Linked DNA regions of Cricetulus griseus. The protein of the gene in region 1 interacts with the protein of each later gene in a biochemical or structural test. Links are inferred from orthologs where the notes say so. Each region holds a gene or a part of one and is shown on either strand. Other genes may lie near its edges.

Region 1 (3,652 bases):
GTCTTTTCTAAGGATTAAAAACAAAACAAAACATTTATTTATTTATCTATCAGGTATGCAGTGTTCTGCCTGCATGTATGCCTGCACACCAAAAGAGGGCACCAGATCTCATTACAGATGGTTGTGAGCCACCATGTGGTTATTGGGAATTGGACTCAGGACCTCTGGAAGGACTACTAGTATTCTTAATCTCTGAGCCATCTCTCCAGCATCTCCCACCCCCACCCCTTTTGAGATAGGGTCTCACATAGCATAGGCTGACCCTCTGTAGCTAAGCCTAGCTTTGAACTGATCTTTTTGCTGTCACCTCCCAAGGCTTAGATTACAGGCATGCACCACCCTGCTTAGCCTCACAGTTCAGTTTTCATGATGGCTGTGATCTGTGCAGGCTTGATACCTCATTAGTTTATTCATTTTCCTAGTATACTGGCCAACAACAAGATGAATTGTGCGAAGATCAGTTGATGTAGGACTCCCCTCCCCCCACCCCAGACAGGGTTTCTCTGTGTAGCTTTGGAACCTATCCTGGCACTCGCTCTGGAGACCAGGCTGGCCTTGAACTCACAGAGCTCCATCTGCCTCTGCCTCCCGAGTGCTGGGATTAAAGGGTGCCACCAACGTCCGGCTTTTTCTTTTTTTATTCTTAAAAGAAGTATGACCTGAATTGATATTTTGTTTGTTTTCATTTTTATACTCCATTTCCAACAAGATAACTAAAAACAAAAAACAAAAAACAAAATGGTAGTCAACTTTTGCACCTAGGAATAGATTAATAGACTATTCACTTGTTATTTTTAACCTTTACAGTGTTGGAGGTTGAGCCTAGTTCATGCTAGGCAAGTACTGTATCACTGAGCAGCTGTATCTCTAGCTTTCATGGTGTTTCTGCTTTTTTTTTTTTTTTTGTATAGGGATCTTAAAGCCAGTGCCTGCCTTGTGCTATGCAAGTGCCTTGCTCCTGAGATACGCTTCACGTTTCACATTTTCAAAAAAAAAAAAAAAAATCTCTGTAGTGTGTGTGTGTGTATGTGTATGTGTGTGTAGGTTACAGGCAACTTGCAGAAGTTTGCTTTCATTTCATCATGTGGGTTCTGGGGATTGAGGTTGTCTGTAGCATGATAAATAAAAGACCCAGAGACTGATATTGGGGTTCAAGTGTCAGTCTGATGATCAGAGAAGCAAAGCAGCCAGACACTAGCTTTTTCCTCTACCTCAGACCAAAGGGGCGATCCTCAGACTGCTCCCAATTTAATTGCTCCTCAGATTCACTCAAACTGCTCTTCTCAGTTTGGCTAGAGACTAACTCTCAGACTGAATGCCTCTGCCTTTTATATCTCTCAAATACTGGGATTAAAGGTGTGAACCCTGATTCACTCTGGTAGCCCTGTATGGTCTTGGACTCAGATATCCATCTGTCTTTGTCTCCTAAGTCCTGGGATTAAAGGTGTGTATCACCACTGCCTGATCTCTATAGTTTGAGGTTGCTTTGCTTTCTGCTTTCGGGAAAGCTTTAGTAAATCATAAATATATAGTTGTCAGGCTTGGTGGCAAGTGCCTTTACCTGCTGAGCATAACAAAATATATTATTTTGATGGAATTCCTATGAAATGTTATCATTCATTTAAATTTTTATGGAAATAAACAACTTGCATGTCTCTTAGAGTGAGGGGATTTTTTGTTTTCTGGCATTGTGAAATGCAAGGTTATGCTTTTTTTTTTTTTTTTTTTTTTTTTTTTTTTTTTTTTTGAGACAGGATTTCTCTGTGGCTTTGGAGGCTATCCTGGAACTAGCTCTTGTAGACCAAGCTGGTCTTGAACTCACAGAGATCCGTCTGCCTTTGCCTCCCTCTGCTGGGATTAGAGGTTAAGGTTATCCTTTTTAACGATTTTCTGGTGCTGGGTCTAGTGGTGTATACCTTTAATCCCAGCACGCAGGAGGTGGACCTCTGAGTTCAAGGCCAGCCAGGGCTACACAGAGAAACCCTGTCTAAAGCCCTGGTCCAGTGCTGACTTTAAGGAGTGAGCTGACTTTTTTTTTTTTTTTTTTTTTTTTAATTTATTTATTTATACAGCGTTCTGTCTGCATGTATCACTGCAGGCCAGAAGAGGGCACCAGATCTCATTGTAGATTGTTGTGAGCCACCATGTGGTTTCTGGGAATTGAACTCAGGGCCTCTGGAAGAGCAGCTAGTGTTCTTAACCACTGAGTCCTATGAGTTGACACATAATACTTAACTCAGGCTAGGAGTTAGGTGTTGGTAACTGTCCTCATGTGTGTGTGGTATAAATCAATGGCCCTGCCTCTCTTTTTGTACAGTACCTTCATGAAAATGGGATTATACACCGGGACTTAAAGCCAGAAAATGTTCTCTTGTCATCTCAAGAAGAGGACTGCCTTATCAAGGTGAAAACTTTTCATCCTTTCTGTTGCTACTGCTGCATATTTCTGTTCAAAACTGTCTTTTAATCTCTTACATAAAAAAAAAATAGGACTATCAAAAGGTTGAGAATATGAACTATCCATACTTAACAGTTACTGCTGAGATCACAAAGTATTCCACCCATCTGTTGAGCACTTACTGAGTGCCAGTGTATGCAAGCTGCTTTTATGTGCCGAGGGAGGAAAGAGTCTCAATGGACCAGTGAGCCATAGATCCCACCTTTCCTTCTCAGCCTAGCCTCACTTTAGAATCTCCCGTTAAAATAACAATACAAAACCCAACAAGAAGACCCCAAGACATAAAACATGAGGGTGACAACAGGTGCCCCTGCCCCTTAAGCTTTTCTGATGTTCCATGGTGTAGTCAAATTTAAGAGTCTTGGGTTTAAGAAATATGTGTTAGTATTAGAGTCCTAATGTGTTTGTGTCAGGGGTTATGCAGTTTTTATAAGTTTATAATGATGATAGGTAAACCTGTCCCGGCTCGTGGGTCCGGTAATTTGTGTGTCTGAGGTGGACTAAGCATGAAAATAAATGGGCGAGAAAGAGAAGCCAGACCAAGCAGTGTCCTTGTCAAGGTCTAATTTTATTGATTATAAACAAGGAGTTTTTAAAGAGAAGGAAGTAAAGAAAGAGGAAGTGGAGGAGGAATGGATGTTAATTGCTCTCAGGCCAGGGCAGGTGTCCCGGAACCTAAGGGGTGGGGTGCTTGACTAATTGGCGGTTTAGCATGGAGGTCGCCAGGCTTCTTGTAAAGGAGGACTTTTTTATGTCTAACCAGGGCTGGCTCCTGACAGGTAAATTGGAAAAAACTTTGGTTCTCAGGTTCTTAGGCCCAGGGATTTTCTTTTAAGCAAAATTAAATGCTTTGCAAAGACATGAAATTATACACTTTGGGTTAATGGAGAGTGTCTGTATAATAGGTAATCCAGTTTCCATGGCTCTTGGGAATGATTGACTATGATTATGTTTGAATTTCATTTGTTCCATTTATAATTTTAGATCACTGATTTTGGACAGTCTAAGATTTTGGGGGAGACTTCCCTGATGAGAACTTTATGTGGTACGCCCACATACCTGGCACCTGAGGTCCTTGTCTCCAATGGGACTGCTGGGTACAGCCGTGCTGTGGACTGCTGGAGCTTAGGAGTTATTCTTTTCATCTGGTAGGAAACATTTTCTTTGCTTCACAATCTGGTTGGATGAGGTTGG
Region 2 (3,652 bases), on another chromosome or scaffold:
AATGGTCTTCCTTCTCCTTGTTCTTTTAAATATAGGGTGAGCATGGACAATCCTGTGCCAAAATGCTTGTGAACCGAGCCCTTGGCCGCTGGAGGCAGCGTATGCTCCGCGCAGATAACACGAGTGCCATTGTAATCTGCATCTCTCCAGGAGCAGACAATCAGGGGAACTTCACCAATGAAGATGAGCTCTTTCTGAACCTGACTGAGAGCCCTACTTACAACAGCCAAGAAACCTGTGTGATGACTCCTTCCCCAAGTTCTACACCTCCAGTCAAGGTATTCAGTGCTACAGGGTGTGTGTGTCTGTGTGTGTGTGTGTGTGTGTGTGTGTGTGTGTGTTCGCGCGTGCGTGCAAATTTGTAGTCTCCAGAGTCAACCTTGTGTTTTTCCTTAGATGCTGTTTAGTTTTCTGAGATGAGGTCTCATTGGAACCTGGAGCTCAACCAAGTAGTTTAGACTGACTGGTCAGCAAGTTTCAGGCTTTCGGTAAATCCCAGCCTGCAATTACAACTGTGTGCCATCATCCCTAGTTTTTTACAAGGGTTCTGAGGATCAAACTCAGGTCCTAATACTTACATAGGAAACACTTTACTCCCTGGGAGTTCTTCAGACCATTCTACAGTTTGAAAGTTATGTTAGTATTACATAAAATTTATGCTTAGAGTGTTTATTTTATTTTGAGTGTGTGCTTACTTTTCTATTGCTGATTAGACACCATGACCAAGACAACTTCTTTTTTTTTTTTTTTTTTTAGAAAAAGACTTATTTATTTATTATGGATACAATGTTCTGCCTGCATGTATCTCTGCAGGCCAGCAGAGGGCACCAGATCTCATTAAGGATGGTTGTGAGCCACCATGTGGTTGCTGGGAATTGAATTCAGGACCTCTGGAAGAGTAGCCAGTGCTCTTAACCTCTGAGCCATCTCTCTAGTCCCCCAAGACAACTTATAAAAGAAAGTGCTTAATTTGGGTTATGGATTTAGAGGATTAGAGTCCATGATGGTAGAGTGAAAGAACAGCTAAAAGCTCATTTTAATTTTTTAAGATTATTTCATTGAATGTATGTCTGGTGGCCTCAGAGGTTCTATAGAAGAAAACATTGAATTCCTTGGAGCTGGAAATATGGACAGTTGTGAGCTGCACTGTGGGTTTTGGGAATTTAACCTGGGTCTTCTGCAAAAGTAAGTTTTTTGTTTGTTTGTTTGTTTTCTTTGTTTTTTTCTTCGAGACAGGGTTTCTCTTGTTTTGGAGCCTGTCCTGGAACTCTCTCCGTAGACCAGGCTGGCCTTGAACTCACAGAGATACACCTGCCTCTGTCTCCCGAGTGCTGGGATTAAAGGCATGTGCCACCAAGGCCTGGCCCCAAATGCAAGTACTCTTAACTGCTGAGCCATTTGTCAGCCCTGAGAACTCACATCTTGATCCACGAAGAGGAGAGAGAGATATGAGAGAGAGTGGGGGGGGGTGGGGGGAGTACTGGGGGTCTCTCAAATCTTTTGAAACCTCAAAATCTGCCCTCAGTGACACACATTCCCCAGCAAGAGCATACTTCCCAAACAGTTCTACCAGTTGGAGACCAAGTATTCATTTGTTATATTTTGTTTTTTGAGACTGGGTTTCTCTGTGTCCTAGCTGTACTGGAACTCAATCTGTAGACCAGGCTGGCCTCGAACTCACAGAGGTCTGTCTGAGTCTGCTTCCAAAGGCCTGGGATTAAAGATATGAGCTACCACCTGGCTGTTTGTTTTTGAGACAAGGTCTCATGTATATATAGCCCATGGTGATCTCAGACTGGCTGTGTAGCTGAAGATGACCTTCAGATCCTGGTCCTCTTGCCTTGATCTCCCAAGTGCTTACATTTATCTACAATCATACCTGGTTAACTAAAACAGAACTTCAGATTTGAAGTAAGTTAAAAAAAATGATGGATCTTTGCTATATAATTGATTTCTTGGAAGAATTCCTTTCCCTCTGCCCAGATATGTAGCCAGGTCCTTGTAAATGCTGGGCACATTGTCACTAAACCATATCCTTGGTTCTTTAGAGAGCTGTCTTCATAAAGGACTAATTTGAAGTCAACTGTGTGTGAGTGTGTGTGTGTGTGTGTTTGTATCTTAATAGAAAAATGTTTGTGGACGATGATAAATGTTAACATGTAAAATTTATTGATCCCTTTTATGAACCTATGGACATTTGTAAAACTTTTGTAAATATGTGAGGCACTTAGATGCTTAATTGTTCATTTAAACCTATAATCCAGAGCTATCTTGATATGATCCATGTTATCAATAACAACACTGAGATTAAATATTTTGAGCAAAGTCATATAGAATCAAGATTGAACTGGTCCTTAGGATATTGGACCTTAGGCTTGCCTTTTTAAATTATCATGGGTAAGAAACAGTAATGTCTTATTTTAGTTGTTTGATTCATTATTTCAGGCCTCCAACCCAATCCTCCTACCTTTGTGCTTGGTTACAGGAGTATGCCACCATGCCTGACTATTCTTATTTTTTAGTGAAAATTAAAATGGAATGAGTTTAAGATGTGCTGAGCCAGAGCTAGAGAGAGATGGCTCAGTGATAAAGAGTGTTTAACTGCTGCTCACTTAGGGGCTTGAGTTTGATTTCCAACACCCATACCAGGCTGCTCAAAACCACATGTGACTCCAGCTCCAGTGGACCTGACACCTTGTTCTGGCCTCCTGTGTATCCACACCCATACATAAAAAGAAGTTAAGTCTTTTAATAAAAAGTATGCTGAGGAGCAAAGTTAAATGAGTACAATCTTTCTGTTTATTGACTTACTTAGAACTCAGTTTACCTGGCTTTGTGAGAGTTTATTTTTTAGGAGGTTGTCCACTAAAGTGGGAAATAAAGCAGCATGCTACGTCACCTATTAAGCAAATATAAAAAGTGTCAATGAGCTTTTTTAAAAATAGACTCTCTGTAGCCCAGGCTGGCCTTGAACTCCTGCTTCTCCTGATTCCCCCTCCCACATGTTGGGATTTCAGCCATGCTCTATCACACAGGCTTTAGAAGCACTTTTAATTTAGGTATTGTGGTCCTGCAAGTCAGTATCTGGGAGTTTATTATTACTGTTTTGCTACCTCTTCACACTTTAAGGTGAAGCATAGTATTTTATTACTAATTGACAATAATTTTTTGGGGGGTCTTATTTGCTTGCTTTTTTCACTAGGATAGAGTTGGGGTCTAGTGGATGCTACACAAGCACTCTACTGCTAAGTTATATTCCAGTTCATTGCTTTGGGATGGCCTTGAACTTAACGTATAGCCTAGGCTTACCTTGAACTTGCGGTTCTCCTGTCTTAGCCTCCTGAATAGCTATGTTTACAGGCTTGCTTTATAGTTTCAGCTAACTTACAACTTAGAAGTGAATTTTTTCTCATGTGTTAGGCATCAAACTCAGGGAAGCATTTTGCCACAGAGTTGCCATACTTATCCCTTACACTAATTTTCTTTTCTTTTTGTTTTTTGAGACAGGGTTTCTCTGGATAGCTCTGGCTTTCTGGACTTGCTTTGTAGACCAGCTGTCCTTGACCTCACAGAGATCTGTCTGCCTCTGTCTCCCAAATACTGTGATTAAACTCATACATCATCGTGCCCATCTTCTTTTTAAATTTATTGC
Region 3 (3,652 bases), on another chromosome or scaffold:
GCTTTATTTGCTCTGCTGTACAGACCTTCCTCTCTCAGGCTCTGGCTTGTACAGTTTGGTCTGTTCTCCAAGTGTACTGCTTTCCATTTTAATTTGCTGCTCTGCTTTTGTGTGTGTGTGTGTGTGTGTGTGTGTGTGTGTGTGTGTGTGTGTGTAAAACCTGTGGGAGTCTAGTTTTTTTATTTTTCCACCTTCTATCACATGGGTACTCAGGTCGCAGTTGACGGCAAGCACTGTTACCTGCTGAACCATCTTGCCAGATCCCCTACTCCAGTTTTATAGGAGACGTGATTTTTAAAACCGGTATGAGCACACTGCCTACTCATCGTGAGCCTGTGATTAGGCGACCCTAGGGGTGAAGTTGAGGTAGTCTGGTAGTATGGGGGAAGGAACCCTGATACCTTAGGGTCACTCTGACTGATGAGTGATGCACAGTGATGAACTGCGGCTGAGGAGACCCTGCCACTGTGATGACCACTCCATGACCGAGAGTGGTCTGGGAGCAGGGGAGAGTCCCCTGGCCTACAGGTTCACAGCAGTCTACCAAGGACTGGAGATGGGAACTGAGCAGAAACCATAGACACCGATTACTGGTTTGCTTTCTGACACATCCCAGGACCATCTGCCTGTGGGAGCCTGAGCCCTCCCACAGTAATCCAATGGAGGCATTTTTATGGATTGACTTCCCCTTCCCAGATAACTGTGGCTTGTCTCAAGTTGAAAAAAGCCAATCAGGACAAAAACCAAACTATAAAAGGTGTTTTTTTTTGTTGTTGTTGTTTTTTTTTTTTTAGAAACAATTGCCAACTCAAGCTGATCAGAGAGGTGTGTTTTTACTAAAGTGTTATTCAGGGTATGATTTTATAGGCATTATTTTGCTTTTATTTTACTTTCCTACACAGCTGGTATATGAATTCTTCTTGAGATTCTTGGAGAGCCCTGACTTCCAGCCCAGCATTGCAAAGCGATACATTGATCAGAAGTTTGTACAACAGGTAAGGGACTCCTAGATCTCAGATCTTCCTGTCCTAGCACTTGCTTTTTAAGACGAGTCCCTCAAAACATAAGTAACTTAAAAGTATTAGTAATTGTTCTTGACAAACAAAATAAGAGCAGCTTGAGGGGTTGGCAAGATGACTCGGGTCAAAGCCCCTCCTGCTTTTCCAGAGGCTCTGTGTTCAAGTCTCGGCATCCACACAGGGCCCCTCACAAAAGCCTGCTAACTCCAGTCTCAGGGGAGCAGGTGGTCTTCTGACCTGCACAGGTCACACTTTTTTTTTTTAAGTAGCTTTCAGAAATTAAGAGTTTTGTATCAAGAGTGAGCACCCAATGAAATCAAACTGCCCTTTCTGCAGTTTCTCAAAAGTTTGGGGTGACCATTTCATCTAAGGGTGTTTAACTTCTGTGTTAAACACCTGTGACTTCGAGCTGACAGGGAGGGATGATCTGAGTGCCTTTCTGGGTACCCAGCATCAGTCGCCTGTCATTCCTGTCCTAGCGCCACAGGGGAAATAAAATGGGACCAGTAAAGAGAGGAATGACTTCTTGGTTTTTAGAAACTGGTATTAACTCTAATTCCAGAACTTACATGCAATTAATTTCTGAGAATGTGTCCATTTGTTTTTATGGTCAAGAGCTTTTAAGACAGTTTTATAGCCTTTTAATCACTGAAATTGTCTGCCCCTAAACAGAACTGTAAAGTAACCCAAACCGTTTCTCTATCCATTTTCTCTTTTAAAGCCATTATCAGTTAGGAATTTGATGCTGAGGGCACATTTGAACTCTGTTATGAGGACCTTTCAGAGCACTGTCAGGTGTTCTGGATGTTAGAGTCCACATATTCAGAACTGTCCCTTCATAAATTACACAAGATTATGTGTTCTTTAACAGTACAATATACACTTCAGGCATGAATAAAATCAGCCAAATTAAAGTGGGGTCTTTGGGGCTATTGAAGAGGAAGGCACATTTATTTTCTTGTATGTTTCTCACGCACTCAGCACCTAGGGAAGCCACACACATTAAATAACAGCCTGGTGCTCTGGGCACTCAGAAAGCTGGGCTTTTCTGGGGTGTGAGGGGGAACCATTTCTACCTCTACCCCAAACTCTGTGGGAAGCCAAGACAATAATCTTACTCTGACAGGTCTGTGTGCTGCCTACAGTTGCCTCTGGGGGATTGGGGGCTGCGTCTGTAAACTGCTCTAGGAAAATTCTCAGCTTTTGAAAGTTTGAAAACTCAGAATGGGAGGCAGGACGCTGCATAATTTAAATTTGTTCAAATCAGAGAATCTCCAAAGAAAACTAAGATGTATTCATGGTTTTTTTGTGACATGGAACCTATCATTTGAATATGTCAAGCTTGTTGTAAAGAAAGCCCATATCCAGTGCCACACAGCTAGTAAATGGCAGAGTCTGGATTTGAACTAGAGCAGTGGTTTTCAACCTTCCTAATGCTGCGACAGTTTAATACAGTTCCCCAGGTTGTGCTGACTCCCAACCATAAAATGATTTCACTGCTGCTACTATTATGAATAACGTAACTATTTAGTATGTAGTACATCTGCTAGGAGACCTCAAGGGTGTCACGACCCATGCGTCGAGAATTGCTGAACTAGACCCTCCGAGCTTGATGAATTACTCTTAATAGTTTGAGGGCAACAGAGCCAGAAAAAGCGGGTTTCCTGATATGAATATGACATTTCTAATTGGATTTATTTAGTTATAAGAGTCTAGCTAACAAGCACCCTCAAACTTAGTATTTCCCTTAGAGATCAATCTATTTTGAACAAAATCATCTTTCAAGTAAACCAACATCAGAAACAGGAGGTTAAGGTTAAAATGAGAAGTTTAGGCATTTTTAACTATAATAACTTGGATCAGTGCTTCTGTTCCATAGGTATTTCTTGCTGTAGCCTCATGCAGTACTGTAATCTAGCCAAAAATGAGTGCAAACCACAAGCAAGTCATTTGTGTAGGGCACGTGAGTGTGACTTACCGCTACCTCAGAAATTCTACTTGGGTTTGAAATCTCCACATAATTAAGACAAAATGGAGTCAGAGCATCTGGTGAGAGCTTGTCACCTGTCTTGTAAAACCCAGCATCACAGTTCAGAATGTAAGGTTCCATGCAGTTTGATAGACCATGTGTCTTTGCATATGGGCTTGCTATTTGAGACAGTCTAACCACTGTGTAGGTCAGGCTGGCCTCCCAGGATGAGTACTTGGGAGGTAAAGGCAGAAGGATTACAAGTTCAACTAGCCTGGCCACATAATGGGTCGCTGTCTCAAAAAACATTTTTAAACATCTCTCAAATTTTCACACTAAAAATTAGGTTAGGAAAGAATTTTAAAGTCACTGGCAAGGTTAAAAAAAATCTTATTTTTATATTCTTTAAAATGACATAAAGACTGTATAAAGATGAATTTACTGAAAATATTCATGCTTGTTTTGGTTACTTGGCAGAATATTTAGAAAAATGTTAAATATTTCATTGGTTATAAAAAATAGCAGTTTTAGCTCGATTATTTTTTTAAAGTAATTTGTCAGATTTTTTTTCAAGCTCCTGGAGCTTTTTGATAGTGAAGATCCCAGAGAGCGCGACTTCCTGAAGACAGTCCTGCATCGGATTTATGGGAAGTTCCTGGGGCTG

Evidence for each region.
Region 2: of the proteins of Chek2 (region 1) and Ppm1d, one has a biochemical effect on the other in vitro, tested with the Homo sapiens proteins (2 studies listed by BioGRID, with this or other methods). The link is inferred for Cricetulus griseus from reciprocal best matches to the Homo sapiens genes CHEK2 and PPM1D.
Region 3: the proteins of Chek2 (region 1) and Ppp2r5a form a complex in vitro, tested with the Homo sapiens proteins (2 studies listed by BioGRID and IntAct, with this or other methods). The link is inferred for Cricetulus griseus from reciprocal best matches to the Homo sapiens genes CHEK2 and PPP2R5A.

What each region holds. Positions count from the first base shown.
Region 1 is NC_048597.1:90,646,570-90,650,221, forward strand, and holds part of Chek2 (serine/threonine-protein kinase Chk2), read left to right. Parts: intron 1-2,317; coding exon 2,318-2,404; intron 2,405-3,442; coding exon 3,443-3,606; intron 3,607-3,652. UniProt on the Homo sapiens protein: Serine/threonine-protein kinase which is required for checkpoint-mediated cell cycle arrest, activation of DNA repair and apoptosis in response to the presence of DNA double-strand breaks.
Region 2 is NC_048600.1:98,581,502-98,585,153, forward strand, and holds part of Ppm1d (protein phosphatase 1D), read left to right. Parts: intron 1-35; coding exon 36-278; intron 279-3,652. UniProt on the Homo sapiens protein: Involved in the negative regulation of p53 expression. Required for the relief of p53-dependent checkpoint mediated cell cycle arrest.
Region 3 is NC_048598.1:3,684,721-3,688,372, forward strand, and holds part of Ppp2r5a (serine/threonine-protein phosphatase 2A 56 kDa regulatory subunit alpha isoform), read left to right. Parts: intron 1-902; coding exon 903-995; intron 996-3,562; coding exon 3,563-3,652. UniProt on the Homo sapiens protein: The B regulatory subunit might modulate substrate selectivity and catalytic activity, and might also direct the localization of the catalytic enzyme to a particular subcellular compartment.